7 linked regions of the Cricetulus griseus genome follow. The protein of the gene in region 7 interacts with the protein of the main gene of each other region in a pairwise test. Links are inferred from orthologs where the notes say so. Each region holds a gene or a part of one and is shown on either strand. Other genes may lie near its edges.

What was found.
Region 1: the proteins of Hoxa1 (region 7) and Adamtsl4 interact in binary tests that used the Homo sapiens proteins (3 or more experiments, as listed by UniProt). The two-hybrid records come from large-scale screens. The link is inferred for Cricetulus griseus from reciprocal best matches to the Homo sapiens genes HOXA1 and ADAMTSL4.
Region 2: the proteins of Hoxa1 (region 7) and Ccn3 interact in binary tests that used the Homo sapiens proteins (3 or more experiments, as listed by UniProt). The link is inferred for Cricetulus griseus from reciprocal best matches to the Homo sapiens genes HOXA1 and CCN3.
Region 3: the proteins of Hoxa1 (region 7) and Chrd interact in binary tests that used the Homo sapiens proteins (3 or more experiments, as listed by UniProt). The link is inferred for Cricetulus griseus from reciprocal best matches to the Homo sapiens genes HOXA1 and CHRD.
Region 4: the proteins of Hoxa1 (region 7) and Nell2 interact in binary tests that used the Homo sapiens proteins (3 or more experiments, as listed by UniProt). The link is inferred for Cricetulus griseus from reciprocal best matches to the Homo sapiens genes HOXA1 and NELL2.
Region 5: the proteins of Hoxa1 (region 7) and Fbln1 interact in binary tests that used the Homo sapiens proteins (3 or more experiments, as listed by UniProt). The link is inferred for Cricetulus griseus from reciprocal best matches to the Homo sapiens genes HOXA1 and FBLN1.
Region 6: the proteins of Hoxa1 (region 7) and Trip6 interact in a two-hybrid assay, tested with the Homo sapiens proteins (2 studies listed by BioGRID and IntAct). The two-hybrid records come from large-scale screens. The link is inferred for Cricetulus griseus from reciprocal best matches to the Homo sapiens genes HOXA1 and TRIP6.

The regions. Positions count from the first base shown.
Region 1 is NW_023276806.1:60,816,913-60,821,058, reverse strand, and holds the start of Adamtsl4 (ADAMTS-like protein 4), read right to left. Parts: upstream 2,801-4,146; 5' UTR 2,574-2,800; intron 2,498-2,573; exon of another isoform or gene 2,378-2,497; intron 1,663-2,377; 5' UTR 1,529-1,662; intron 198-1,528; 5' UTR 122-197; coding exon 102-121; intron 1-101. UniProt on the Homo sapiens protein: Positive regulation of apoptosis. May facilitate FBN1 microfibril biogenesis.
Region 2 is NC_048603.1:644,007-648,077, forward strand, and holds the start of Ccn3 (CCN family member 3), read right to left. Parts: upstream 2,801-4,071; 5' UTR 2,798-2,800; coding exon 2,723-2,797; intron 2,602-2,722; coding exon 2,376-2,601; intron 1,257-2,375; coding exon 1,005-1,256; intron 1-1,004. UniProt on the Homo sapiens protein: Immediate-early protein playing a role in various cellular processes including proliferation, adhesion, migration, differentiation and survival. Acts by binding to integrins or membrane receptors such as NOTCH1.
Region 3 is NC_048597.1:67,916,608-67,920,561, forward strand, and holds the start of Chrd (chordin), read right to left. Parts: upstream 2,801-3,954; coding exon 2,653-2,800; intron 2,482-2,652; coding exon 2,312-2,481; intron 1,931-2,311; coding exon 1,801-1,930; intron 1,667-1,800; coding exon of another isoform or gene 1,661-1,666; coding exon 1,532-1,660; intron 1,447-1,531; coding exon 1,347-1,446; intron 1,243-1,346; coding exon 1,155-1,242; intron 812-1,154; coding exon 670-811; intron 560-669; coding exon 419-559; intron 337-418; coding exon 254-336; intron 180-253; coding exon 32-179; intron 1-31. UniProt on the Homo sapiens protein: Dorsalizing factor. Key developmental protein that dorsalizes early vertebrate embryonic tissues by binding to ventralizing TGF-beta family bone morphogenetic proteins (BMPs) and sequestering them in latent complexes.
Region 4 is NC_048595.1:391,942,191-391,946,483, reverse strand, and holds the start of Nell2 (protein kinase C-binding protein NELL2), read left to right. Parts: upstream 1-1,493; 5' UTR 1,494-1,508; coding exon 1,509-1,572; intron 1,573-1,977; coding exon 1,978-2,106; intron 2,107-4,293. UniProt on the Homo sapiens protein: Plays multiple roles in neural tissues, regulates neuronal proliferation, survival, differentiation, polarization, as well as axon guidance and synaptic functions.
Region 5 is NC_048595.1:382,056,844-382,060,343, forward strand, and holds part of Fbln1 (fibulin-1), read left to right. Parts: intron 1-227; coding exon 228-371; intron 372-1,117; coding exon 1,118-1,246; intron 1,247-1,994; coding exon 1,995-2,120; intron 2,121-2,966; coding exon 2,967-3,086; intron 3,087-3,500. UniProt on the Homo sapiens protein: Incorporated into fibronectin-containing matrix fibers. May play a role in cell adhesion and migration along protein fibers within the extracellular matrix (ECM).
Region 6 is NC_048597.1:116,225,497-116,229,613, forward strand, and holds the start of Trip6 (thyroid receptor-interacting protein 6), read right to left. Parts: upstream 2,801-4,117; 5' UTR 2,641-2,800; coding exon 2,532-2,640; intron 2,283-2,531; coding exon 2,155-2,282; intron 2,042-2,154; coding exon 1,916-2,041; intron 1,663-1,915; coding exon 1,279-1,662; intron 808-1,278; coding exon 714-807; intron 616-713; coding exon 446-615; intron 1-445. Other genes in the region: Slc12a9 (solute carrier family 12 member 9), read right to left, coding at 3,489-4,117. UniProt on the Homo sapiens protein: Relays signals from the cell surface to the nucleus to weaken adherens junction and promote actin cytoskeleton reorganization and cell invasiveness. Involved in lysophosphatidic acid-induced cell adhesion and migration.
Region 7 is NC_048601.1:89,186,543-89,190,785, reverse strand, and holds Hoxa1 (homeobox protein Hox-A1), read right to left. Parts: upstream 2,801-4,243; 5' UTR 2,687-2,800; coding exon 2,038-2,686; intron 1,509-2,037; coding exon 1,153-1,508; 3' UTR 53-1,152; downstream 1-52. UniProt on the Homo sapiens protein: Sequence-specific transcription factor. Regulates multiple developmental processes including brainstem, inner and outer ear, abducens nerve and cardiovascular development and morphogenesis as well as cognition and behavior.

The sequences.
Region 1 (4,146 bases), on a different chromosome or scaffold from region 7:
GAGATCTACTTGCCTCTACCTCCCAAGTTTAAAGTGTGTGCCACAACTGCCGGGCCCCTTCCCTGCTCTTACTATTAGAGACTGACAGCCCTTGCTCTTACCTGCCCAGCCAGGTCTCCATTGCTCTCCCTTGACTGCCCCTGGGCTGGGAGGCAGGGGCAGGTTAGCTACTCTGGCATCTGGGCACGGAGGATACTCTGAGGAAGAAGCACAGTGGTTACCCCTGCAGATTGCCGGAAGACTAAAGGGCTGTCCCAGCACAGCACCAGCAGAGTGGAGGGAAAACTGGTCCACCCCTCTAGGACCTAAGGGTGGGAGCAATAAGGAACACTGTCTTTGTCATCTGCTGAGTCAAGGGTGGGGGTCTGACCTCAGCCTTCCAGTTCAGTTTAGTTCCCTCCCTGTGGCCCAAGATGGACTTAGCTCCTCTGGAGGCCCGAGGAAGGGCAGGGTGGAGGAAGGGGGAACCAGGAGGTTCTTCCTCCCAGAGCTCCAGGACCTAGAGGAGGCAGGCTATGCCAGGTACCCCTATGAGGTACCAGAGGGCCCTTGACACCAAGTGTGGGGGCAAAAGCCTTAATCCCACCATTTGAGTCGGGGAGCAGAAGATCCAGCCTGGGTGATGCAAGACCCTTATCTCAAAAAAAAAAAAAACAAAAAAACAAAAACAACAACAACAACAAAAAAAACTCTTTCCCCCTTAAAAAAAAAAAAAGTAAAAATAAAAATAAAAAACCCGAGTATTTGTTTCCTACCTGCCTCCCAGACCTTTCTCCCTCTCTTAGATAAAGCTCCTTATGAAGGAACAGCCAGGCACATCTGGGTGACCACAGGCACTTTTTTGTCCAAGGGATAAACTAAGTGGGCTAATGGCTTCATCTTTAGAGAAGAGGCGGTGACTTAACCTCCCTGTGGGTGCCAGCATCCACGAGGCCTTGGCTCGTGGCAACCTAGTTCATGTACAGCTAGTTTTCTTCTTCTTCTTTTTTTTTCTTCCGATGTTCAGCCAAAATGGCTGGGCACTTAGGAAGGAGAGAGATGCAGCCATAGCTGCTCATCCTTCCCAGTCACCAGCTTCGCCTTCTGGTATACCCGGGAAGTCCACCCTGAAGTCTAGCCTTGAATGCTGTAGAGAGGGGCTTCCATAGCCTGTCTCTCCCAAGGCCCTGTCCTCCAGCCCCCTCCTTCTCTTTGAGGCCCTTCCCACCCACACCCCTCATCCCATCTCAACTCTGCTTTCCAGGAAAAACACTGTTTCTGTTGGATCTAAATGGCACCACCAGAGGAATCCAAGCATTGCTGGCCAACACAGGGCCAGCTCAGGGCAGGCAAAGAACAGAGGGAAAGCAAAAGCTAGCCAAACCCCCACTCCCGGGACCCCAGAACTTGGGAATTTGAAGACAGGAACAAAGTGGCTGAGCCCTCTCCTTCCCCTTGCTGGGCCAGCCACTGAGGTCCACAACAGCCCTGGTGGAAAAGGAGCCATGTTCAACCCCTCGAAGTTGGAAGAAGGAGTGATGGGCACCACCTGTCTCTCTCTTGTCCGATGCTGGTCCCCTCTCCACCTCCTGCTTCTCTCTGCTCCCCCAGGTCTGTCCCTGCTGCCTCTCCGTGGTCTACCCAGTACACATAATCCTGTCCTGAGCTGGCTTTGGCAGCTCCCTGGAGAAGTGAGGGGTGGGGGGTGATGAGAGCTCCTGGGGCCAGGGCCAGGCCTGGCTCCCTCTCTGGAAAAGTCCACCCCACCCTCCCCTGCATAGGGAAGCAGGAGACTCCCCCTCCCGGCACAAATGCATGCTTGTTGTGCCAAGGGTGAGGAAGACAGAAGTTGGAGGTGGCCACCCTGAAGTCAAGGTGGACTCTGGTAAGGACCAGCCTAGGCTGCTCCTGCTCACACCCCACACTGGGCCGTTGACAGCAAGGAAAGTGACCTGTATGGAGCTAACCCCTTCACCCTTGGGCTCGCCTCGGGCAAATGAGCTAGGAAGAAAGGAGCGCTAGTAAGGGCTGGACTGGCAAAGGGGAGTTGCTGTCCTGTTAGAATTCCATCCCAACAGGTGTCTGTCTTTCCCCCCAACCTCTCCCAAAAGGCTGTGCTGTGCGAAGAGCCCCACCCGCATCCCTCCCGGACACCCTATCCCTGCGTTCTCGGAGTCAGGCGTAGGGGTGCATCCTCCCGAAGCCCCTCGGGGAGGAGCGGGTGGCGCCGGCTGCAGGGAGGTCCCGTATGTTTTCCAACTTCACTATGTGACTTAATAGGAATCTTGGCTCAAGCCCTCGCCCGGGTAATGGGACCAGACCCCCTCCCCAGGAATTCGGCCCAGGGTCCGCTGTTCCGTGACCATCAGAGCCCAGGCGGGGGTCGGGGAGGCTCTACCTTCTCTGCGCCCGCTCTCTCCAGCTGCCCTCCTCGGCCGCCACCAGGGCCGGGAGCCCGGGGACAGCGCCGCCCGCCCGCGGCAGGCTCCTCCCCGTGCCGCCCGCGCCCCGCCCGCCACGCGCCGGCCCCCGACGGCTAGAGGCCATGCGGGCATCGTTCCCGCCCCCACCCCAGGGTTTGGGACCCCACCGACCCTGTCAGAGCAGCCTTCGGGTGGAGCTTGTACACGAAGAGCACGGGCAAGGGGGATTTACAAACTGGACCCATGTGGCCCTCCTCAAGCTGAGATCCACCGAAGCCGAGGCCCTCTCCTCCACGCAGCCCGTGCCATCTCCTCCTCTTTTCCCATGCTGGGCAGTGAACCGTGTGGCTCTGATGGCCGAGGATGTCTGTGAGCCTCGGTTTCTTCATCCATAAAATTTTACACCCCGGAGCTTAGCGGAAGGAATGCACGTTGAATTATGAGTCAGACAAATTTGGATTTGAATTTCAGCTCGAGAGCTTGCCAGCTCTGTGGTCTTTCACTAGCACTTCAACATCAGTGCGGCAGCAGTGTCGTCTGTAGAATGGGAGACTTTGATGTGTATATTAGGCTTGGAAATGTTTGTCCATCTTCATGTGGAATAATGACTCAGAAGGAGTGCCCGAGTGAAGAAGAAGGGATGAGAAAGAGTTTTACCTTTTTATGCTTTTTATTCTATTTATATTCTGCTTGTACGTCTTTTCGTAGGTAGATGTTTGTTTATTTGTTTGTTTATTTATTTTGCTGTTGTTGTTCGTTTTGGTTTTTCTGAGACAGAGTTTCTCTTTGTAACAGGTCTGGCTGTCTTGGAACTCACTCTGTATACCAGGGTGTCCTCGAACTCACTAGATTCTCCTGCCTCTGCCTGTGCTGGGATCAAAGGTGTGTGCCACCACCACCTGGCTTGGTTGTTTATTTTTGAGGCAGGGTCCTACTATTAAGTCCTGAGCCACCTGGACCTCACTATGTAGAGATCCACCTGCTTCTGCTCCTGGAAGTGTTGGAATTAAAGTCGTACACCACCATATCAGTCCAACCTTGTAAATTTTTTTTGAAAACATACTGGGCATGGTAGTGCATGCTTCTAATCTCAGTTCTTGGTGGACTGAGGCAGGAGGACCACTGCAAGTTCAAGACCAGCCTAGGAAACGCAGCAAGTTCTAGGGTAGACTGGCCTACAGAGTAAGTTCCAAGACAGCCAAGGCTATTACACAGGGGAAACCCTGTCTTGAAAAATCTAAAAAAATAAAGCAAAAACACCCAATCAAGGTTAAAGAGATGACTCAGCCATTAAAGGCCAGGTTCACAACCTAAATGTCAAAACACACAAATATAGAAGTTTTAGCAACATTGTCTTGTGACCCCACAAAACAACAGAGGCCCTTGGTGCCCCGCCTAACACTTCTTGTATAGCTCTTGCTGAGGGCATAGAAGTTAGTCTCCATCCCGAAAGTGCTCAGTCTAATAGCACAGACCCTGCCAGTGAACATTGACCACTTTGGAGTTAATATGGGGCTCTGTGGACGCAGGAGCTATCTCAAAGATGATGGGTGTGTCTATAAAACAGTCCTGGGGCTGGGGATGTAACTTAGTGAGCTTTACACGCAGGAAGCCCAGTTTCCATTCCCAGCCCTGAAAAAGGCAGAATGCTACTGTTTGTTTTTGAGACAGGCCCTGTGATAACAATAGGACAGGTTGATGGGAACTCACTGTGTAGCCCAAGCTGACCCCAAACTTGAACTCT
Region 2 (4,071 bases), on a different chromosome or scaffold from region 7:
ATTGGGATAGATACATGTTGTCACTTAGGCAACACTGGAGAGTGAATTCTAAATCTGTAGCCAACATATGCCAGGTCTTGCGGAGCATAGTACTGGGTTTCTCTGTAATCCCCTAACAGTTAGGGCACAATGCAGGACTTCAAGAAATCTTTATTCACGTGACCCTAAGAAGCTTAGGACAGCTTGTCATAGAAATTTAGGAATTATATGAACACAGGACCATATGGCATCATCAGCTGAATGATTTCAGTGTGTGATTTGGTACACCGGAAGGTCATGCTAACAATTTAATTTTTTGTATATATGTATATATTCAGGTGTGTGTGTGTGTGTGTGGGTGGTTGTGTGTGTGTGTCCGTGTGTTTGAAGGTGTACATACATGTATATGTATATGCATGTGTACAGAGGCCATAGGTCTACTTCAAAGGTTGCTCCTTAGGAACTCATTCATAGAAATCTTGGGCTAACTGATTAGGTTAGTCTAGCTGGCCAGTGACCTCAAGGGACCTGCAGATCTCTGCCCCCGCAGGATTAGGGTTACACATAAGGCTTTTTTTTTTTTTTTTTTTTGGATCCGAGAGATCCAAGGATGGTCCTCACATTGGCACTACAAGAGCTTTACCAATGGAGCTATTTCCTCAATGTTACATTTTAATTTTGGTGAGTAAGGAGAGCCAACCAAATCAAAAATCCAGGAAGGGATTTTTACTCAGGGTCAGTCAGGAGAGAGAGTAAAAAAAAATACCCACCCAATAATTAAAAAATGAAACAGAAGTGACTGACTAAATCAGAGCCCTTTACAAGAGAAGCTGTGTGAATATTTCTGTAATCTGGCTCAGACTTAGATAAAGGATGCATGTGATCTTGGGGGAGAGGGGCAATCTGAAATTCACAACGGAATGGCCAGAAGCAAGCCAGCCTTCTTTCTCATCCCAAATCCTAGAACCATGCCTGCTTTGTGACTGCGTTTACTCTGACTCCCCTATGTCTGCTCAGTTCCTCACCTGGAAGGGCCAGGCCTCCCAGGGTCCCCTGCTCATTTGGGCCACAGGTCCACTTCTCGCAGCACTCCCCAGGCACTGCAACTTTCCTGGGAGCTGGGCAGTCGGGACCAGGCAGCAGCACGTCCAGCTGGCAGCGGGGCACGCAGCCAATCTGCCCATCTCTGCAGGCGCAGCGGTACTGACAGTTTGGTTCAAACTTCTCTCCGCTGCGGTAAATGACTCCGTCGAACACACAGTTGTCTCCCTCTAGAACTGGAATATTCAGGAAGGAAGGAAGGCAGAGGGAAGAGGAGAGAGAGAGAAAAACAATCAAAGCACAGATTAACTGGAAAGCTGTGTGAGATTGGAAGGACACGGTCAGAAGTGAGGGGCTTATACATCTCAAGGAGAAACAGGTCCCTGTAGATGCTTCCAGAACAAGGAGAAGGCACCAATCCCACCTGGGCCTTTTTTCTTCACCTAGTTCTTATAAACGAGCAAAGAGATGGACTCTGGACACTGCCAATATACACGTTCTGGCTAACTAATGGCTTCTATCACGTCTCCACTTCTTTCTCAAATCTCCTATCCCGGAATGATTTCATTTCTATGCTAGAGCAAAGGTACAAATGGTGGTGTCACACTCCAGTGACCCTATCTCCAAAGAAAAGAGCATTTCCCCCAAACAGTCTTCAATTCTTCTTCTACAATAGTTTAGGATTTAAAACCAAATAGTTTTACTGAGCAGCTCTGAAAGGGCATTAAGAATTCTTGGGAGGGAAAAAAAGAGAAGAAGGCTTGCTTCAAGCTCTTACCAAGGGAGGTAGGGGCCATTCTGATTACAGCAGTGTATCTCGTGGGAAATTGATCTCCCATTGATTAATTTTCATGAGCCTGCCTTGGCTAGTTGCCTGCATTTGATTTTACTGCAACCCTGACAGGAGTGACATAGTCCTCCCAGGAGACAGAAATTCCTTTGGCTCAAGTAGGACAATCACAGGTGTGAAAACAAGCGTGCCGGGCTGCAGTCAGGGGGAACTGGAGGCCTGTGAGCAAGCCCATACGTCCAACACATCATCCTAAGCGTTCCCCTGAAAGTGGCGAAATGAAATGGTTTCACTGACCCTTAAACTCCGCTTTTGTCCCCTGTCTAGGCGGCAAGTGATGTACCTGCTCTGAGCATGTTTCCTTTCAGTCTGACGCCTGATACCCAGTAAGCTCTCCACATAGTACTGTACTGTACTATTGCTACAAATGTTTTCGCTCAGTTCTCTCCAAGAAAGGGAAGAAGACGGCTAAGGGAGGAAGGGAGGGAACAGTTTCACCTAGCTGCCCCAGGAGAGGTCAGGCCACGGAGGGGAGTGCTGGCGGGGCGGCCAGGGACAGGGTTACCCATGCATATGCCAGTCTGGTTGCTGGGGTCTGCGCTGCGGTCACAGTAGAGGCCGCTGCTCTGGTCGCAGGGCTTGAGCTCGGAGCAGCTCTCTCCGCGCTGGCGAGCGCACACCAGACAGCAGGAGCAGCCGTCCAGCACGGAGCGCACCCCGGGGGCGCAGGTCGGCGGCGTAGTGGGGCACTGGAGCGGGCACGAGGACGGGCAGCGCTGAGTTGCAGACACCTAGGAAGAGAAACGGGACAAGGAAAGGAGCCCTGCTTATCAGGGACAACGTAAGGCAGAATGAGCCAAGGACCGATTAGGGTTAGCCTAGAAGGAGGCATCTTAAGCCTGAGCCACTTACTTGATTGAAGAGATGGAAGAGCAGGAAGCCTAGGCAGAGGCATCGCTTTCGCAGGAAAGTGCTCATGGTCTGCATGCTCTGCACGCTAAGGCTGTCCCGGGACTGGAAACGGGCACTGCCCCTTCACTCAGGTCAGGCTGAGCAGGGAGCGCCACCCGTGCAGGTTTTATAACGCGCTCCAGGAACGCGCACAAGCCGGTTGGCTGCGCGGGGAGGGGGGTGGGGGGGCAGTCATCTGGGTGGAGAAGTGGAAGGAGCTCTGACGTTGCCATGGTGATGGGCCCCAAGGCTGCTCTCCTTAGGGCGTGGCGCCCGGTCTGCGTGTGCCTGTGTGTGGCGACTGGCTTTTCCCAGAGCACCGGGAGGGGCAGGGTGGAGCCCCGAGGCCAAGACCCAGAGCCAGCTACAGCTCGTGGGAAGGAAACGCCCTCTTCCTCTGAGTAGTTGTTTCACCTTCCCCCAGGAGGAAGACACCGCTATTCCCTCCGCCCTCGCTGTTCTGTTCCAGAACCAGGGCTACAAAGGAGGAGCTCTTGACCGGGATGCCTGAAGTTTGGGGCCATATGAGCAGGGCAGGGATTGGCCAAAGGCCCAGGAGTTTAGTCATAAGGGAAGCACATGCAAGTTTGTCACCGTTTATTAGGGCGCTCTTTGAAATGTGTTAAGGGGGTGGGGATGAGGAAAGGACACACACACACACACACACACACACACACACACACACACACACACACACACACACACCACTCCCCGTCAGAGTGGGGGATGCTGTTGGGCAAATGGCCAAATTCTTCCAAGATTTGCAAAGTCTTAAGACCCAAGTTCCCCATGCTCGGTAGACATAAACACAAAACAATGAAATACAAATAAAAAAAAAAAAAGAGGAGGGAGAAACATTTCGTGATATAGGGAAAGTCTGGAAACACCTGCCACATCGCACCGAATGTAAAACCGCTTCAAACAGTCCAAGTTTCTATGCCAGCCTCACTGGGTTGCGCTCAGCGCCCCGATGGATTGAAAAGGCTTTTGCTTGACTTACCTGAATAATAGCTCTCCAACCTGGATTCATTTGCGAAAAGAAAGGAAAGGGAAGAAAGGGTAGTCTGCTGTGTATGCTTGCTGGTTTTACTCCATCAAAGGTGACCCTGTGCGACAGATTTAAAACAGCTTTTCCTCCTGTACTTCAAGGCTGCACCCAAGAAAACTATGTCCAGCCCCGTTGACGGATAGCTACTTTGGAAAGACACTGTGATGCAATTCTAGACGCTACAAAGAAACAAACTGTCCCTATATTACTGACTCTTCAACAGGAGAGAAACAAATGGTAGCGTGTATCTGGGCTGTCTCTA
Region 3 (3,954 bases), on a different chromosome or scaffold from region 7:
GCCCACAGCGCCGAGCCCCACCCTGCCTCACCGTCACAGCTCCGCCTGGCGGTAATGTATCCGCTGATGCGTAGCTCTGGCCCACCTGCCCTCTCTAGGACCATCTGCAGCTCCCCCAGCACCAGCCAGTCCATCTCTTGGTCTGTCAGGCTGGGCAGCACCTCAGCAAAACCTGGCTCCTGGGAACAGAGCGGAATGTGGTGGACAACAAGAGGCCAGAGCAAGCAGCAGCAAGACCCAGGCCTCCCCTTACCTCAGCTGAGGTGTTGGCCTGGAGCTCTCGGAGTGGCTGTCCCTGGTGGAGAATCTGAAGCCTCAGGGGAACCTGAGCGGGACCTGCAAGGGCTGCACATGTGAGCATTTCTGAAAGTTGAGCTCCCTCCCTATACTCTCACCGGACGCCTTCTCACCTGCTTACCTTCATTCCTGGGTCCCAGCAGACCCCGGAAGAGCAACAAAAAATGTAAGGAGTCTTCTGTGTCACTGAGGGTGAGCAGGGCTATGCCCCCTACACCCCGATGCTGTGGGCCTTCCAGAGTAAGGGTGGCACTGAAGGTCTCTGGGGAATGGAGGGCATGACAGCCATCAGAGGAGCCTCTCGTGAGTCCACCCACCCCTGGATAGAGAAGGCTCAGTCTTTTCTATCTGGGAACTCTTCACTCTTCCTACCTGCAGCCAGAGCACCTTGCCAAATGAGAGGCCCCCAGACTTCTCCTGAAGGGTGAGTGGGTGTCACCAGGGCTACATGCAGCTGTTCTGCCCTCAGGAGCCTCTGAGATAGCCGAGGCATTGCACGCCACACCCCACAAACCTACAGCAAAGAGACAAGGAAGTCTACAGTCACTATGCAGGACAAGCCAGCTAAGAGGCCCAGTCCTGGTGAGGGAGGAGTATGGAAGGGAGACCCCAGACCCTCCTAAAAAGGACCCAGGATCCTTGAGTTCAAGTCCTGGCTTACCACTTGCTAGCCAAATGACCTTGAACAAATCACATTCTGCTATTCTGAGCCTCAGTTCCCTCCTCTGTAAAATGGGCATCATAATGTCAGGGCCTTTCTCCCACTGGGCTGTTGTGAGAACCAAAGGAGGCAATGCCAACCATGCTCTCAGCAAGTGCCCATTTTGGATAAGTACACGTAAGTGGCATCATCTCACCAGGCCATCCTGGGTGGGGGCAGCAGGGTGTTCAAACAGGATGTTGCCGGTGGGATCTGTGAACCGAACCCGGCTGGGGCGGTCCAGCCTGTGAAGAAAGGTCCAGTGAGACTGGATCCAGAACCCGCAGTCTTCCCCCTTTCATGCCCCCATTCACTACTCCTAGCCGCGCTGCTCTTTCCCTGGTCTCACCGCTGGTAGGAGATAGAGAAGCGAAGACTTGAGCGCAGGAGAGAGACTCGAGCGCGAGCTACCGCCTGCGACCTCGGTCCTGTCAGCAGCGCCACAAAATCTGTGAGAAGAGAGGATGGCCTAAGCACTGTCAACCCTTGCCGCTGGCCCCAAACTTCGTCAGGCCCACTTCCACCCCAGCCTACCCGTGTGGCCATCAGCACGTGTCCGCTCGCCAGCGCCGGGATCCCCTCGATCGCTGTAACTGCGGTGCTCTGGGTCCCTTGGATACTCGAAGACTAGGCCAGCTGGCTGTCGGTCCAAATTGCTGCGCTCTGCGTTGGGGGGGGTAAGGAATAAGACCACTAGATTCAGCAGGGTACCAGGAGGGCCAGTCCTCCTCAGCGATCCAAGCCGCACAGAACCTAGTGTTGAGCCTTCCACCCTCCCTAACACGGGAGACAGTGGGCCTCACCCTGCGGGCAGGTCTGGCAGCAGTGTCCTGGCAGCTGGCGCGGCTGCCTGCAGGCCAGGGTGGGGCACTGGGGTTTGATGTTCTTGCAGCTGACCCTGCCAGGGCCCCTCCCACGGCGAGCCCACTGAGGCTGATGGCAGAGAACACAGGGAAATTAAGTGAGTGTAACGTGCAACCATCAGACGCCAGGGTAAGGTCCTCTGCTGGAATCAGTCAGCTCCGCTATTTACAAGTTACATGACCCTGGACAAGTTTCTTAACTTCTCTAAGTCTGCAAAGTAAGGCTAATTAATGCCATTTATCTAGCAAGGTTGCAATGGGATGGGGGAAGTTGGCTAAAAGCCAGTCACATAGTGGGCGATCAATAACTGTCAACACCGCAGACTTGAAAGGGGTTTCCCCAGATTTGAGGACCAGCCTTCCCCTGAGCATCTCCGAGGCTACTACGGCTTAGGACGCCAGCGTTCCGCTACCCTCTAGGGTAGGGCGGGCAGCTGCGGTATCCACTCACCGCTTCACAGGCGCACAGCACGCAGCGCATCACCCCAAAAGGCTCCCCCAGGTCCGGGTGCCACGTCTCGTCCAAGGCATAGACCTTCCCGCCGAAGGAGCAGCCTGTGGGGACGGGCTTGGCTGGCGGCCGCTGTCCGGTTGCTCGTGCCGTAATGCCTGCTCCGAGCTCTGCCCGCCAGGCCCTGGGTCCCTTGGCACCGTTGCGCCCCGCCGCCTCTGCTTACCCCTCCCGCCCTCCCGCTGCGCCGAGCCACCTGCGCCCGGGGCCCTGTCCCGGTGGGTGCAGACTTGCCCCGAGCCAGACTCCCCGCCCGCGCCTCCCCCCTGGAGCCCACCTACCTGCCGCTCCCCGAACAGGCAGCGGCTCCTTCTCAGGACGGATGGGCAGCGCGGGGGACTCGGGGCCAGTGCCACCGGCCGGCCGCGAGCCGAGGAGCAGCAGCCCGAGGAGCAGCCGCGGGGCCGGCGGGGCCGGGAGGCTCGGCATGACGCGGAGCGGACAGCTGGGGAGGCGGGCGGGAGGAGGGAGCAGGAGAGGGAGTAGGGCCGGACCGGAGGCGGGCCGGCGGGAGGGGGCCGGGGCCAGGAGGGGGGCAGTGGCGAGGGGCTCGTCTCGCAGTCGCGGAGTCCGCTCCCGGCCGGGCGGGGCGGGAGAGCTCGGGCGGCTGGGCGCTGACCCGGGCCGTACGCCGCTGTAGTGCCCTAGGCGCTGGCTCCGGCCCGTTTTATGCCCGCGCCAGGAGTCCCGGCCCGGGGCCTCCTCCTCAGCAAACGGGGCGCGGCGGCGGCTCCGCAAGGAGCCCGGCTGAGCCCGGGGGGTCCGGCCCAGCAGCAGCGGCCGGATCGCGAGTGGGGGAGGGGGACAGGCTGGGACCCGGCAGGGGAGGAGGGAGGGACTGGAGGAGGGGGGAGCGGAGTGGGCAGGGGGAAGGGAGGAACCAGGGGGCGCAAAGGGGGGGAGGAGAGGCGGGCTTCGACACCCCCACACACACTCCTTGCGGCCACCCCTGTGGTATCCATCCAGAGAGACAGGAGCCTCAAGCTAAGTGAAAGGGCAGAGGCTGGGCCTCCGGCCTGTACCACTCATGGGCAGGATGGGCCCTGGAGGATGAGGACTTGTCTTTGAAAAGGACAACGATCTTCCCTGTCTAAGACCCAGGGCACCCTCCTCCTTTCACTCAGGCTGTATTCCTCTTTCCCTTCTAGGGTCTCTTCTCTTTCTGGAGTTCCCAGGCACAGGGACCAAGCCAGAATCAAGAAATGCTCCCCGCACCCAGTGGAGTAATAACCTCCCCCTTGTAACCTGTTCACAAGTCCATCCAACCATCACCTGGCTTTCCCACCCTTTCCTTCATCCAAGGGACCACTCTTTTTCCTCTCCTTTGTCCTGCCTCCCCATCTCCTCCACCCCCACCATTCTCACAACCATCCCAGCACCCGGCTTCCTAATCTTAGGAGGCATCTCTTCTGATTGAACTAGAGAATTCCGGGATCTGGGCCATACTCCTTAGTGGACAGCCCATCTTCAGAGCAGGCACAGGAGAAACCCTGAGGAAGAACAAGGGCAGAGCACAAGGTCAGGCCAGGAGATCCCTGAGGACAGAGACCGTGGGGAGACAGGCACTGAGGAGAAAGCACCGG
Region 4 (4,293 bases), on a different chromosome or scaffold from region 7:
TTCTGGCTTTGGCTATAGTTCATTTCTTAGTATGTATGATCAAATATACATTGTTCCTATGGAGTCTGAAACCCCGTGTCCCACTTCCTCCCAATGACTGCACTTCCCACTCCTTTAGTCCTAAGTATGGATGGTTATCTACCTAGGTATCTACTTACCTACCCACCAATAAATCATCCATCTATCATCTATCCATCCACTCTCCTTCCTTCCTTCCTTCCTTCCTTCCTTCCTTCCTTCCTTCCTTCCTTCCTTCCTTCCTTCCTTCCTTCCTTCCTTCCTTCCTTCCCTTTGTCCATTCATCCATCCATCCATCCACCCATCCTTCCTTCACGCTATATATCCCCCCCCCTGCCCCCAGGAACCATCATCCATCCTCTATCCTCCATTCATCATCTTATCTGTAACATCTATTTATTCTAACAAGTATCCATACTTCTCTCAGTGGGTAGAATCCCATCTCTACCCTTTGAGGCAGGATACTAGACTTGGAGTTTGTCAGGGGCTCCCAGAGATCCCGGAGCTGTCCAGCAGCCTCTGGCTCCTGGCTAAGTTCTGTGTGTAGTGTGTGCCTGGAGGCTCTCCAGCGCCCCGCCCTGGGCAGAGAGCCTCTCAGGCAGGGCTGGCCAAGCTTCCCCGCTCACCACCCGTCTCCGCCTGTCTCTTTCCTCTGTCCACCTTCACCTAGGAGTCCTGCGTGCTTTGGCGGGGTTCCTTGCCCTGTCCAGGAGGGGATTCCCTGTTCCTGGGGCTGCTGTGCAGCGAGTGTCTGAGTGCGGGCTTCCCTCTTTTGCCCGAGGCGGCAGGTCGCCTTGCCTTTCTTTACAGCCTCGCCTCCTGCGGCTGGGTGGTCCTTTCTCTCCGCCCGGCTTTGGAGACACGCGCCCGATTTCAAAGGGGTGAGAGAAAACGCCGCCCATCAACTCGGCACCTGGCGTTGGGATCCTAGGTTCCTACCAAAGGCTGTGGTTGCGGGCATGCGGGCGAGGGTGGCATAGGGCGACTGAGGGCCAGCCTGGCTGGACCCGGCTCCGCTCTCGGGTAGAGAGAGGCCGCCCCGCCCGCGCCCCGGCTTGCGCCCCGCCCTCCCGGAGCGGTCTCCGCGGCTCCAGGCTCTCGCCATTGTCTCCGCCTTTCCAACAGGTTCTGGCGCGGGAGCGCGGGCGGGTGCGGGGCGGCCCGGCCCGGCTTTCCCGGGGCCGCCTCCCTTCCTCCGCGTGCGCGCTCGGGCCGCGTGGTTCGGCGGGGCGCCGCTCGGTGCAGGTCTCCGCAGATCCCCCTGAGCCCGACCTGGCTGCGGCCCGCCGCGTGCGGGAGCGATGCGTGCAGAGGCGGCTCCAAGTTCGGCGCGCACCCAGGGGGGCCGCCCCGCTCGGGCTCGGTCTTAGGCGTCTGAGCCGGGGTAGCGAGACAGTCACAGGAGGGGCCGGTGCTGCTTTCCCGCTTCACTCCCAGCACCTCTTGCTTTTTATCTTTATTTTTAAAGAGGGAGACCATGGACTGAGCCGATGCACGCCATGGAGTCCCGGGTGTTACTGAGAACGTTCTGCGTGATCCTCGGGCTCGGAGCCGGTGAGTGGCCGCCAAGCTGGGCCGGGATGCTCCCCGCCTAGGGTTGCCGCCCCAAGACCCTCTGGATTGGGGAGCTCTGGAGGGCGCGGGTTTGTATTTGGGTCCCTTCTGTGCTTGTCCTGGGGATTGCGAGGCAGGTCACGCCCTTAGGGTCTGTGGCTGAGGGGGAACTTTGCACAGAGAGGGGCTTAAAGTAGGTCACAGAGATGGGACCAGGCGCTCTGCTATTTTAAGCTTGGCAGCGCGTCCAGGTAAGGCTCTCCGGGTGAAGGAAGGAATCTCCTGTTGTCAGCACTTCCCAATATTGTCTCCAAGATGCGTTCTTTGAGCCATGGAGGCTTGCGTTTTAATGGCCCCCTTTCTTTCTTTCTTTCTTTCTTTCCTACCCCTCCCCACTCCCACCAGTTTGGGGACTTGGTGTGGACCCGTCCCTACAGATTGACGTCTTAACAGAGTTAGAACTTGGGGAGTCCACGGCCGGAGTGCGCCAGGTCCCGGGACTGCATAATGGGACGAAAGCCTTCCTCTTCCAAGGTATGGCCCAGTGCAAAGCCCCCTGTGCGGTGGGAGGAGCTGGCCCAGAGGTTCTTGCTAACTTGCCTGCTGCACCCCGGCGGGATAGAGAGTGCCAGCTGGGGGCTAGAGTTCCCTGTGAGCCTAGGAACCGGATCTTTTAAACTGGGGTGCCTTTTCTCATTTCCCGCGCCCTCCTCCTCACTTGCTACACTTGGCGGTTCTAATGGATAGTGCCTTAATTACAGACTAGAAACTCCAGAGGCAGATGGGTGATTTGGGCATCTGGGGAACAATAAATTGTAACACAAACGCCTCATTTGGGCGGAATGGATTTGGTAAGGAAACAGGACAGCTCAATCTTGGTTAAGACACTGACCTCCCAAAGTTTCGGCGCTGTGGTACCCGCCGAGAGCAATTTCTTTACGCTATTTTTTATTGCTTATCACTGTACTTGAAGCAAGACTACCATGGAAAGCTCCTCATTACGCCTTCCGTACCAGTGGCGAGGGGAAAGGAATGATACTGTTAAGATTATTTTAAAAGCATTTCAATGGTATATTCACCCAGAAGCACATCCCACCCCCCATCACCATAATTGTATGGGTAGGATTTTAAAACTTTTTCTTTTGGAGTCTGTGGACATTGGCTATTTTTAAATGTTCATATTTCAAATCATATTTAAATATACTGTGCAGTCAAAACACAATTTCAGTAAAAAACAACCTGCAAATTGATCGAACGAAGCTTTTGAAGACTGGCTTGTGGGAACGTGTTTAGCTTGAGGAACATGTTAGCTTGAGGGTCTAAAAGGTGGCTCAACTGTTCATGGAGATGGTGAAGCACAGATGAAGGCTAGAGAGACAGGGTTTGGTTTCCTGTATCCGGAGGAACAAGACGTCCTCCCCCACTACACATGGGGTTTTCTTTTGCTATTGGAAGCAATGGCTTTAAAAGAAGTGGTGCAACTTATAATTACCGAAGCGTTGGCTATGCAAAATGCAACCAACCCAGCACAGCTGCCTTCAAGAAACAGACATAGGATGCAAGTTGGATGGTTCTGTGGTGGCGCTGTTGCTGCACATAAGCCAGCGTGTGTCACCATGGACAGCAGCTCCTAAGCTCTGTAGGGAAAGGGAGAAACTGACATGTGTTGCATTTATTTAAGACGATTTGTTTTTTTTTTTTTATAAGAAATCAAGATGTAAGCTCTTTTTTTTAAAAAAAAAGAGGATCAGTTGAAGTTCTTAATTAGTGTTTTATTGTGACAAATGTTTATGATATTTTCTTTACTTTCAGATGCTTTGTGGAGGGTGGGGCTGGGATACTGAAAACAATGACCATATGTGATCATGGAAATAGAGCTCAATTGTCAGCAAAAATTCAGAGTTGAATTGAAATGCAATTAAGTGTAGGCTTTTCGCTTATACTATGTATTATTTCTGTCCTTGATTTTTAGTCTCTGGGGACTAAGCTATTTCAGGAACTGATGGGTTGAGTAACTAGGAAAAAACCAAGTTTCTAATAATCAAAACCTATTGAATTGTTCCGATAATCTCAAAGCTTCTATTATGTCTTCTTAGGGTCACTATCTTCCTATATAGAGTGTCCGTCTGTCACAAGCAACAAACTCCAGGAATGCACATTTTATGTGAGACAATTGGCCAATTAGACAATTTGACAGTTTCTAGGCAAAAGTCTCAGAGTATCAGTTTTTTTTTCTGGTTAGTTTAAAACAATATTTTATATAAGTAGTCAGCTTCTTCAAGGTATACATCATATTAAAAAAAACCTACAAGATTAATGTCCAATGGTATCTTTGAATTGTCCTCAGTTGGGGGAATGCCAGTGTTTACTGGTGGGTTTCTTTTGTTTCCTATCTAATAGCAAGATCAGTGCTAGAAAGAATAAATGCTTCACAAATATAGTTTTCATTCAAAGATGTAAAATTACATTTGCTGCCACAATACAAACATCACTTTGTGTATTAGTCTCTATTTACTGCTTGCTGTGTAAGGTATATGATATGTAATGATATGCTACTTATTGAGCTTTAGTAACTTACCTTACCGTAAGATTTTAATTCTGAAACCCACAACAACTAGACCTGTGACTGAGGGGTGGTTCTGTATGGTTCTGGAAATGTCTTTCCTCAGTTGCTAGGGGAGCAGCAGGTTTGTTAAGAAACCAGCCCTGCGTCATGGTGTT
Region 5 (3,500 bases), on a different chromosome or scaffold from region 7:
TGCCACAGAAGATGGAGAAATTATGGTTGGAAGCAGGGGGAGAGGAAAGAGAGGGACCTGAGGCTGCCTTGTCCTTTGACCTTTACCCTTGTGTAGGGCAAAGTGATCAGGGCCTATTGGTTTGTTTCTTTGCTGAGAGAAGGGGAAGGCTCTTCTGGAGGTTCAGCAGCTGTATTCATGGATAGCCGCTGTTTAACCGTGCTGCATCTTGTCTCTTCTCTTTGTAGATATTAATGAATGTTTAAGTATAAGTGCCCCATGCCCTGTGGGGCAGACATGCATCAATACAGAGGGCTCGTACACATGTCAGAAGAATGTGCCCAACTGTGGCCGTGGCTATCATCTCAATGAAGAGGGAACTCGCTGTGTCGGTTGGTATCTCTCTCTCTCTCTCTCTCTCTCTCTCTCTCTCTCTTTCACACACACACACACACACACACACACACACACACACACACACACACACACTTCTGAATTTCTGAATTTTGGCTTTTCTCTCTGTTTCCAGCACAGTCCTTCCCTTCTCTAGAAGAGAGAGTTGGTCCCCAAAGTGAAGACATTCTGCCTGTCCATCCGTCCCATTGTCCTTCCCCGGGCACAGGTCTTTGCTGTCTTGCCCAGACTATATTACAGTAGCACACCAGTACTTCTAGCCTTACCTTCAGTCTGCCCAGTGTTCTCAGGCTACCTGATCACAGCCTGTTGGCGACTAAGAATGGACACTCACAATTCAGTTCTCCTAAAGTGGTCACAGCAAATCTAGGTGACATAAATCTTGCTATTCCCCAGAGAACACAAGACCACTAGGTGGTGTCTTGTTCATTCCCACTATGTTCCTGTTCCTGTGTTGACTTGGGCTAGGGAAATCAGCTGGCCTAGATCTCTGCCAGGAAAGGGGCTTTCCTCCCCACAGTCCTTAGGCCATTTTAGCCCCTCCCTGACAGCCCTGGCTACTTCCTGTCTCTAGAGATCAGAGCTGGCTTCTTGGCGGCGGATCAGCTGCTGTTCCAGATTGGCACATTGTAGAAGTTCTATGAAGAGTAGATGGCTGCTGTCAGTGTACTGTTTAGTGTTGCACTCTAAAAAGCTCTGTGTGTCTTCCTTTCTCCTTCACAAGATGTGGATGAGTGCTCACCACCAGCGGAACCCTGTGGGAAGGGACACAACTGCTTGAACTCCCCTGGCAGCTTCCGCTGCGAGTGCAAGGCTGGATACTATTTTGATGGCATCAGCAGGACCTGCGTGGGTATGTGAATGTCCTTCGGGCCCTCGGGACCCTGGCCAGGTGACTCCACACGGGGGACAGTCTGTGGCACCTAGAGTGACCATGACCGTGTCCATCCCATCCTCATCTCAGGAGGTCCCAAGTGTAGGCAGCCCCAGAGTGAAGACCCTCAGTCAGGAGACACTGTCTAGCTGCAGCTCTGCCACCACCCTGGACTTGGGCCACCATCAGGGCACTAGTGGTGTCTCCCTGCTTCCTCATGGGACAGGTGTTCTGTTTGACCCTCAGCCTCCAAGCATTTCTAAGACTCCAGCCCAAGTCTGCATCTGGCAAGATAACAGTGATTTTTCTAGATTTGCTACAGACCTATAGAGCTCCAGGGCTTTGGATGCACAACTCTCTAAGGCAGTCAGATCAAAAGGTGACCAGGAGTGGAGTCAAACCCTATCCAGATAGTACTTGCTGTTACCAAACCAGGATCCTTGATGGAGGCTGACAGCTACCCTAACCATCCCCCCGGCCCCTCAGCAAAACCCAGCAGACTCTCCTGTGGGGAGCAGGCTGGCAGAAGGGCATCTGTCCAGATGTGCCACGTTTGTCAGAGCACAGGGCTTCACACAGATACAGTCAAGAGAGGCCTCAGCCCTTCCTTCTGAGACATGAAAGGACTTAAGGGCAGAAGTCCATGAATTGCTGCCATTGGGCAGAAGGGTGGGACATGGCCCTGCTCCAGTGGGCATGCCTTGAGCTGACTGCCCCTCTGTTTCAGACATCAATGAGTGCCAGCGTTATCCCGGGCGCCTGTGTGGCCACAAGTGCGAGAACACACCAGGCTCCTACCACTGCAGCTGCTCTGCAGGCTTCCGGCTGTCTGTGGATGGCCGGTCCTGTGAAGGTGAGAGTGGGTCACGGGGTGGCCAGCAGCCTTAGCCACATCCCTCCTCTGCTCGAAGACTCATTTGGAGTTTACTAGGCAGATATTTCAAGGATACTAAAGTCTCCACTCCAGAGACATGACTCTAAGCCAGTAGCCGCCATGCTGGAACTTGGCAAGTCTTCCTGGCAGGGCTTGGTCGGTTGTTTGGGTTCATGAGTCTTGCTGTGCACAGACAACAGTGTCTTGTGTTATCATCTATGATTATTATTCCTGGATGTGTCAAAGGTGTTCATAGCTATGTGCCAATAAAACTTTATTTACAAAAACAAGTGGTGGACCGAACCTGGCCTGGAGCTTGCTCTAAGTGAAGGGAATTGGTGACCAATAACTGGGTTGCAACTAGCCCCAAAGTTGAGAGATTTAGAAGTACCAAGGCTGTGTCACCTGTGTCACAACCTAGGAGATGAAGTGGGGAGGGTAGGAAAGATTTCCACTGAGAGCTAGAAGGGGCTGTGGTCATGCTAGGACTCTGGATATGCTGCTGTCATGCTGAGCCCATGCCCTGTGGGGACAGGCTCATGGAGGCTGTCACTACTATCCTGCCAGGAGATCATGTAGCCTCACACAGGCAGTAGCAGGGGTGGAGAAATTCCAGATTTCTCAGCTACAGCAAGCTGGAGTGGAGGCCCCTCACTCCTTGGGCATCTCAGTCTTGTAACTTCAGACTTCTCCTCCCTATTTAACATCAGGGAGGTGATGAGGAAATATTCTGCTCACTGCTCTCTGTATCCTCAGTCTGTAGGGGAGGCAGGGACTTGAGATGTGGCTCTGAGCTCTAACCCCTAGGAACCTCTTTTCTTCTAGATGTGAATGAGTGCCTCAACAGCCCATGCAGCCAGGAGTGTGCGAATGTCTACGGCTCCTACCAGTGTTACTGCCGACGAGGCTACCAGCTCAGTGATGTGGACGGGGTCACCTGTGAAGGTGAGGCACCCTGGGTACTGTGGGGAGCACCCTGGCCTTGCCACCCAACGCACAGCAGGTTCTGGCTGCATTTCAGAATTCACGGCAGAGAGCCTGACAGGATTTCTCCACCTGTTTGCTCCCTTGGAGGTGGGGCTGGATCCTTGCTTTTCCTCTGATAGGTCTCAGAGACCCTCTACTGGGCTTGAGAGTGAGGTTAGGAAGAGAATAAACCAGTTCATGGATTTCTCTTAATATGCATGCCATGGTAACCCCTTGGTGTGCTGGCACTCTGAGCCACAGGGCACAGGGCTTGGCAGCAGTAAGTGGCTGAGAGGTGAGGAGTGACCTGAGGGCCACAGAACCCCTGAGACAGAGCCACCCTCACCAGGCCTGGCCATCAACTTCTTCTCTGTCAAATGCAAAACTCTCTCC
Region 6 (4,117 bases), on a different chromosome or scaffold from region 7:
CCAAAACTACAAACAGGCAATCAAAGAAACAAAACCCAAAATGTTCTTTTGGTTGATGGACCAAATGATCTCTGGAAACATGTGCCCTGGGTTGACTTTAGAGCCTGTCCTGGAACTAGCTCTTGTAGATCAGGCTGGTCTCGAACTCACAGAGATCTGCCTGCCTCTGCCTCCCAAGTGCTGGGTTTAAAGGCATATGCTACCACTGCCTGGACAAACCTGCTTTGTAGCTAAAACTGACCTCAAACTCCTAATTGTCTCTCCTGCAGATAGCCACCACGTGGAGCTCCTTCCTTCTTCTGTTTCTGCTTGAGTTCCCAGCTTCAAGCCCCCTCCATCATCTGCCCCATCTGACTAAGTATCTGGCCCTCTCTTAGATGGGCAGGAACCCGCCTACCCATCTTGATACTTAGTTTAGCCCTCTTTCCCCCAGCCCAACACTCACCACGTAGCAGCTCTCACAATATGCCCTCCTCTCCACAGCATAGAAGTGCTGGCCCCGGAGCTGGGCCCGACAGGTAGAACACACAAAACAACCAACATGGAAGACACGGTCCAGGGCCACAACCCCAGCTCCATCGCCAACCACATCTTCGCCACAGCCACCACACCGACCTGAGGATAGAGAGCAATGAGCATCAGTCTGTACATATCCATGTCACCAGAGCCACCATCTCCTCCCTCTGCCCACCCTACCCACCAGGTCAGCTCACCAAAGTACTCCCCACTGGGCGGGTGGCTCATGTCATGCACCAATTTCTTGGTCAGTCTCTCTAGCTCTTCTTCCGGAGGTTGGCTTAAAGGGACCTACAGTGAGAATCAGGGCTTTGTGGTACTACCTACAGTCTCTGATACCATGAATAATCTGTAAGGTCAGAACCCTGAAACTCATCTGAGAACATCTCCCAGAAGCTAATGGGGGGGAGGTACCTAGCCCATTCCCTTTGGCCATTTTGACCCATGACCTCTAAGTACTCCAAAAACCAGGATTGATTTATTCATTTATTTATTGTTGGAACAGTGTCTCATATAGCCTAGGCTGGCCTGGAACTTGTTATGTAGCCAAAGATGACCTTAATCTACTGATCCACCTGCCTCTACCTCCACCATGCTTGTGGATAGAACCTTGGAACCCCTGCATAGTAAGCAAGCACTCTACCAACTGAACTGCCTCCCCAGCCCTAAACCAGTATCCTAAGTACTCCATGCCACCCAATCAATGCCCACTTACCTAAAATGACCACAAACCCAGTGTCCCCCATCCCCCACCCGGCTCACCTGGGGCCCATGCCCGCCTCCTCTTCCTCCTCCTGCAGGGCCATGTATCCCAGCGGCTTCCTCCTTTACCCCTGGTCCTGGCTCACGGTGGCTCCTATAGCCAGACCCCCAGACTTCACTACGGCCTGGCAAAGGAAAGTGGGGGCCTGGAAGAGGCCCAGAGGCCTGAGAGGCCCTCCGCCTTGGCAGTCCACAGCCTCTCACTGGTTGAGCCACCTTCACTTGTACAGGGAAAGCAGGACCAGCTGGAGTGCTGGCTGTGGCGTAGGAGGCTGGGGTAGGTCCACCATAAGGGGCTGCTGGGAGCATAGGGGTTGGAACAGCACCTCCACTGGGCTTCAGGGAGCCTGCGCGGTAAGCATGGGGTGGAGGGACCTCAAAAGCCTGGGGAGACACGCAATGGAGAAACAGTGAGTAAGGCCCTAACCAACATCCATGCATTCCAGGTGGGAACCACAGAGAAGCAATGATTTCTGACAAGTTCCCACGGGCAAGGCCCGGCAAGGAGGCAGCCCGTGCTTCCTTGAGCCAGCTGTTCATTAGTTGCAAAGTGTGGAAAGGATGGCTTCAGGCTGAAGAGCCACAGAAGGGAACTGGCTAGGGATGGGGACGCAGACACAGGACACAGGACACAGACCTGTCGGTCTGCCCGCCGAGGAGCATGACTGCGACCCCCGTCCAGATCAGCCAACATGCTAGTGAGTGAATCTATCTCAGCATCCAGGCTTCCAGGACGGATGACACCCCTGTCTGGCGGGAGCCCCTGGAGACAGAGCCAAAGCAGGGAGAACAAATATAGACCACAACCCTTGGGCTTCTGTCGCCTTCACCCTGAGACAGAGACCCACACATCCTCCTCTCATCTCCAATTCTCACCTGCAGACGCTGGGGTGCTCCGTGGGAGCCCACCCAAGTAGGCCCCCGATCGTCCGGTACCCCCGGAGGCTGATAACACTGTTCAGGTGGGAGGGGGCAAAAATTGACCCTGGGGTGGGGCTGGAGTGCTGTAAGGGAGAGAACAGAGGTGGGAATGGAGAATGGTACCTCGTGAAGGCTGCCCTGCTCGGGGTGCCTCTCCTTCACGCATCTGGGGCGTCTGGGAAGGGCTAGGAATCAGGGAAGGTTGCACAAGGGCAGGGGCCTCTGGCTTGGGGAGGAGACATCAGAAAGCAGACAGACAGGAGAGAAAAGGTGAAGGAGAGTGGCCAGTAGCTCCCCCGCCACTCCCGGGTGTGCGAGAGACAAACACTTACTTGCTCCGTGGGCCGGTGGCGGCCCCAGGGCGCCTCGGGGAAGCGCTCTTCCCTGGGGGACTCTGGAGGGCTCTGGCTGCTTCGGGGGAAGCCAGGTGGGCCCCGACATGGTCTGGGATGGTTACTCCACTCCAGACAGAGGTCACGGCCCCCACAAGCCCGGAGCCCTCCTGTCCCGTCCCACGCCCGGTTTGGGACTCCCGCAAAGAAACTTTTTCTGGCTTTTTTTTTCCCCCCTTCCTCCCCAATTTTGGGGCTGGCCCCGCCCCCTGACGTCACCACATTCCTAGAGAGGGTCACGTGGTCCCCCTAAACCCTAATCTGCAATCCCTCCCCTCTCTCTCTTTCTGTGGCCCCCTCCTGTTAAGAATGGGCCGCCCGCCTCGGGAGCCAAGCCACAGGGTGAGCTGCAAGGCGCTCAGAGGCTGCGGCCCAGCCCCTTCTACGATCCCTGCCCCAGGACTGCACGTGGCAGCCTCTCGGCCGGGACCTCAAAAGGCTTCTGGTCTCCACCCCCCTACAGATCTCTCCCTTCCCACCCACCTCCCGCTCACCTACCCACCAGCAGTGCTCCGCCAGCCCATAGTGTTTTGGTCTTTTATTAATGGTCAGTAGTTAGAAAAATAAAACAAAACACAAACATCACCACCCAAGGAAGTGGGAGAGGGAGGCGGTGCGTCTGTGGCCAGGATGGGGACACTGAGGTAGCCTAGAGTCGCAGAAGAGACCAGCCCCTCTGGTCAAGGCACCAATGAAGGAAGTGGAGGCAGGCCAAGGGCAGGGCCACAATGTCCTCCCAGGACTATGGGAACAGCCACCCAAAATTAGTGTCTACGTCCCCCCCATCCAAAGGAGACCATGGTCCCCTTAAAACATCATCCGAAGGGCAGAGTCCACTGGGGGATCCATTGTTCAGAATGGGCCTGGGCCCTCTATGCAACCCTGTCTCAACAGGCTTCAGAGATCAGTGCAGGTGACTGGAGTGACTCCATGAACAAGAAGGGTGGGGCCCAGGTCCCGGCTCAGGGTTTCCAGCAGCGCCAGGTATCTGGGGTAGCGGGCAGGATCGGCAGGCGGTCGAGGCAGGTACAGGAAGGTGAGGGCAGTAGCAGGTCCCTCCTCCCCATCCCTTCCTTCAGGCCCCCCAGGGCCTCCTGCCGCGCCTCGCCCCTGCTGGGCACGCACCAGGGCGTTGGCACTGCAAGCCAGAGCCTCGGCCTCTTCATCTCCTCGACCACCATTCACAAAGTCCCCTTCCTCTTCTTCATGCTCCCCAGTCTCGGCCCCTTCACCCCACACCACCTCTTGCACCTCTGCCCGGATCCTGAGTTGACTCAACAGAGCCCGCAGCCTGCCCTCCGCTGCCCCAGGAGCCTCCCTAGGCCCCAGGCACAGGAAGATCCGGAGCCGGGCACTGTGCCACGCAGGCACCATGCTTAAGATGGTAGCCATCTGCAACAGGAAAAGGCCACAGACGTCCACGTAGCCAGGCCCACCCCGGGGCCGCAGCAGGTTCAAGGGCCACACGTCCACGTGATGTAGCTGAGCGCTGCTGCTGGACCCCCGGCTTAGCCGCTCCGGGGGCA
Region 7 (4,243 bases):
CCTTCCCCTTACTTTGTAGTAAGACACAAACTGTAGCCCAGCCAAATACACAGATGCTTAAGCATACCCAAAACTTGAATATTTTTTATTACAGACGTCTTAAGACCCGTAAACTCTGCTCTGGATCACATCCCTCTGGGATCTCAGAGCTGTTCATGATTGTACAGGAAAGGGGGACTATCGTAGGCTCACAAAAGATAACTGATAGAACTCAGTGTGGTACTTCAGGGACATCAAAACATTGTGCGACATGCAGAAGACTATTCACGAATCACACAAAATATACATTCATTGTGCCATCACATTAACAATTAGCTGAAAATACATTGTATCCAGCCAAGATAACTGTGGAAAGAAAGGGTGACTGAAAAGAGTACCTTTAGGTTACAAATAATCCAGCACACTTTTTAAGTGGAGGGTGGCCAGAGAAGCAAGAAGAAATCGGTAATTTGGGAAGTCTTGGCACAGCAAAGGTTCTGAACTTTGGGCTTCTCAGGCCTTCTTGACTCTGCAAGAGCAAATTGAGGCTACCTTTTGAGGAATCTGGTTCTGTTTGAATGCCAGGGTCCCCCCTTTTTTGTCCACCCATAATCACCAGTTTTGGAAGTTTGCCCACCCTGTTTGATATAGTTCTGCATGTTTCTAGAAAATCTGTATAAAGATAAATCTCTCAAGAGAAAGTTAAGGGGTGAATTAATTGTGTAAACACACTCAGTCAATCTCTTCTTCATGAGCCTTTGGATACTCTCTTTTTTGTGTGTCCTACTTAAGAGCCAGGTAGAGAAGAACAATATACAGATAAAAGGTGAGATGCCTCCCTTCTTCAAATGCCTGCTGGCAAAGGGTACTGTCCTCCAAGGGACATCTGAAAGGAACCATGGGTTGTGTAAAAAAAACTCTCACAACAGTGAGGAAGGAATTTTGGGGGCCACCAGAAATTGATATGGGCACCCGATGTGGATTAAGGATTTAATTTACAACCAAGTCTCCAGAATTCTATGGAACTACATTATGTTGCCCAGGAGCTCTCTGGATTGGACCAGAAAGAAAAAGAGAGACTGTAAAGGAAGAAAGATAAGCTAGAGATGTGCTTTGGGTAAGAAACCCTAGCCCAGGGAGAAGCCTGGACTACGGAGCTGGGCTGGAGTGGCCTCAATGGGAGGTAGGCAGGGTGTCTGAGGTAGATGATGCTGGAGAAGGAACGCAGGGCGAGGAGCTGGATTTCTCAGAAGATTCTTCAGCTTTCTCGTCGCTTCCAGGAGGAGTGGCTGGAGAAATGGGCAGGAGCCCCTCCTTCTCACGCTTCTTCTGCTTCATGCGGCGATTCTGGAACCAGATCTTCACCTGGGTCTCGTTGAGCTGCAGGGACGCGGCTATCTCCACCCTGCGCGCTCGTGTCAGGTACTTGTTGAAGTGGAACTCCTTCTCCAGCTCCGTGAGCTGCTTGGTGGTGAAGTTGGTGCGCACTGCGTTGGGTTGACCCACATAGCCATACTCTCCAACTTTCCCTGGGGTAACGGAGGAAGAGAGGAAAAGGTAAAAATTCTTTAACCCTTATCCGATTGCCCAATGTTCGGGGCAACATTCGGTTAACTGCTCAGCACAAACCCAGCTGGGAAGCTCTAGTGACAAACGATGTGTATGTAAAGTGTTAACCTGAAGTCAACCATTAGCGTGGTCAGGCTTCTGATTAATGGAGCCTGTAGATATTAACAAAACTCCACCACCACCGACACCTCCCACCCACACCACACCACACACACACACACACACACACACACACACACACACACACACACACACACACACGCTTCCTACTTCTAGACCACTGAAGCATCAGCCCCTTTGAAAATGCCAGGTCCAGAAACTGCTTTGCCCCAACACACCTGGGCATCCTACACCACACACTATAACTCCAGAAGACACTAGACAGAAGCAAGAACCCATCTTTTAAAATCATTAACTTTCCTAGGAAACTAAGCGCACCGGCCCCTTTCAAAATCAAGCAACATTTGTTTGCCAGCCGGCAGGACTCACCTGTTTTGGGAGGGTTTCTTTTGACTTTCATCCAGTCAAAGGTCTGCGCTGGAGAAGGCGTCTCTGAAGCAGGGGAGCGACAGGCTTCTTGGTGGCTGGCGTGGAGAGGGGATAAGGAGTTATTATACGTGGCCAGGGCCAGGCTCTGGTGCTCTTGTCCATAAGAGTGGTGGATATACTGAGGCGAGCCCACCGTGCCCCCAGCATAACCCTGGTGGTGGTGGTGGTGGTGATGCTGGACCATGGGAGATGAGAGGTTTCCAGAGTAAACAGCGGGAGCGCACGGGGAGTACCCACCACTTACGTCTGCTTCCTGATTTAATCCATAGGGGCCATAAGGCGCACTGAAGTTCTGCGCGCCATAGCTTGGACCACAACTCGAGTGGGAGTAGGAAACCCCCAGACTCCCAGAAGTCTGGTAAGTAGACGGCTGGGGGTGGTGATGGTGGTGGTGGTGGGGCGAGCTGATCTGCACCCCCCTGCCCACTAGGAAGCGGTCGTCGCCGCCGCAGCTGTTGGCACTGACCGCGCAGGATTGGAAAGTTGTAATCCCATGGTCAGAGGTGTAGGCTCGCGCAGAGCAGGTCCCGGAGTCGCCACTGCCAAGGATGGGATATTCCAGGAAGGAGCTCATTCTTGCATTGTCCATCTGTCACTGAGTGACTGGGTCCTGCGAAGCCCTGGGTGACCGTGCCAACTTTCTCACTTCCTCCATGGGACCAGAGAAGAAAAATGATATGAATGTACAGTGCGCAAGAGGCGGGGCGGGAAGGCGGAGGACTCAAGGGGAAGGACACGTGACTTTGTCAACCAATGGCTGAGCCGCCTGCGAAAGTTTACCGGCTGCGGCGGTGATGGATCACCGTTTCAGTGGCATTTAAATCCCCGGCGCTCCTCAGTCTAGGTGACGCGCGGTCGCCCCCCCAGGCTGCCCGGGCCGCGGCGGCTGCTCCGGCCGCTGCCAGAGCTGACTTGGAGCACTGGGGCCAAGGGGAGTAGAGATTGACTTCTGCGCGCGCCCGACTCTGCTCGCCTCCGCCTCCAGGATGTGGGGGATGGGAGGCGACCCTCCGCGGCCCTTTCCCCACCCAGCCTAGAAAGCTGAACTGACAAGAGGTGAGAGGGGACGAGGCCTCTCGGCTCTCTTGAGGCGGGCCTCGGTAGGCCAGAGCTCTCTGCATGGTCTCAAGGACCCTGGCGGAGCCGGGAGCAAACAGGGTGGGAAGGGTAGGAATCCAGCACACATCATCCCCTCAGCTCGGGATGGCCGCCACCACCCAGTCCCTGCAGAGACTTGAGCCTGGAACCCAGGCGCCTAGGGCAAGGCTGCGTCACTGCCTCACCCGCCTCGGAATGTAGGGGGACGTGCGCAAAGGATTGTCTGGGAGGAATCAGGGTGGGTGTGATGGGGACCAGAGAAAGAAAAGAAGCTACTGTCCTCATCCGGAGGGTCTCAGAGCCCTCTGCCCTGACTCCTACGGGCCAATAGCGTGGCTATGGGAGCTTCTGTAATTCGACCCCAGGGGGGCGGGGGAGCCCTAGGAACCCAGCTCTCTGGGAAAGTCCGGGTGTCTGCTCTCTTCTCTGCCCTCCCTCTTCTCTGGATCTCTTCCCCTTTCTCCTTCCCAGTCAGTCAGCTTTGCTCTTGGTAGTCCCTCAGGATCCGGAGCAACTCTGCTGCTGGAGTTTGAGGGTGGAAGGCAGATGAGAAAGATGACGCTAGCAGACGTGGCCGGCATGAGGGCCGAGCCTGAGCTGCAGGCCTTCTGTCTGCTCTTAGAGACCCAGGAGCTTGCTCGCTCCAGCGTAGGCCTCAGAGGGACGGAGGGACGGGACAGAAGGACGGATCGCACAGTTCTTACAAAGTATGCTGACCTCCCGCGTCACATTTCTCTCTTTCATAAGGGGCTTGCTTGTTAGGAGTGGGAAAACCTCCTCTTGCCACCGCCCCCTATTGCATGTCTGGGGGGTGGGGAGGGACTGGCAGGTGGGAGGGGCAGTGGACAGATGGCTGAGTGGATTGTATACTTTCCAACGGACTGTGTAGTTGCTTGTGTGAACCTTCAGGTCACTCCCCAGAGAGACACGTGCAAATGTGAGCATCATCCCAGGACAGGGGTCCTGTTTTCCATCAACCTCACCCCTACGATGATGCTGATGGTGTTGGTAATTGCTGTTTACTGTTAGGTTTAATGTCAGCCCTAGG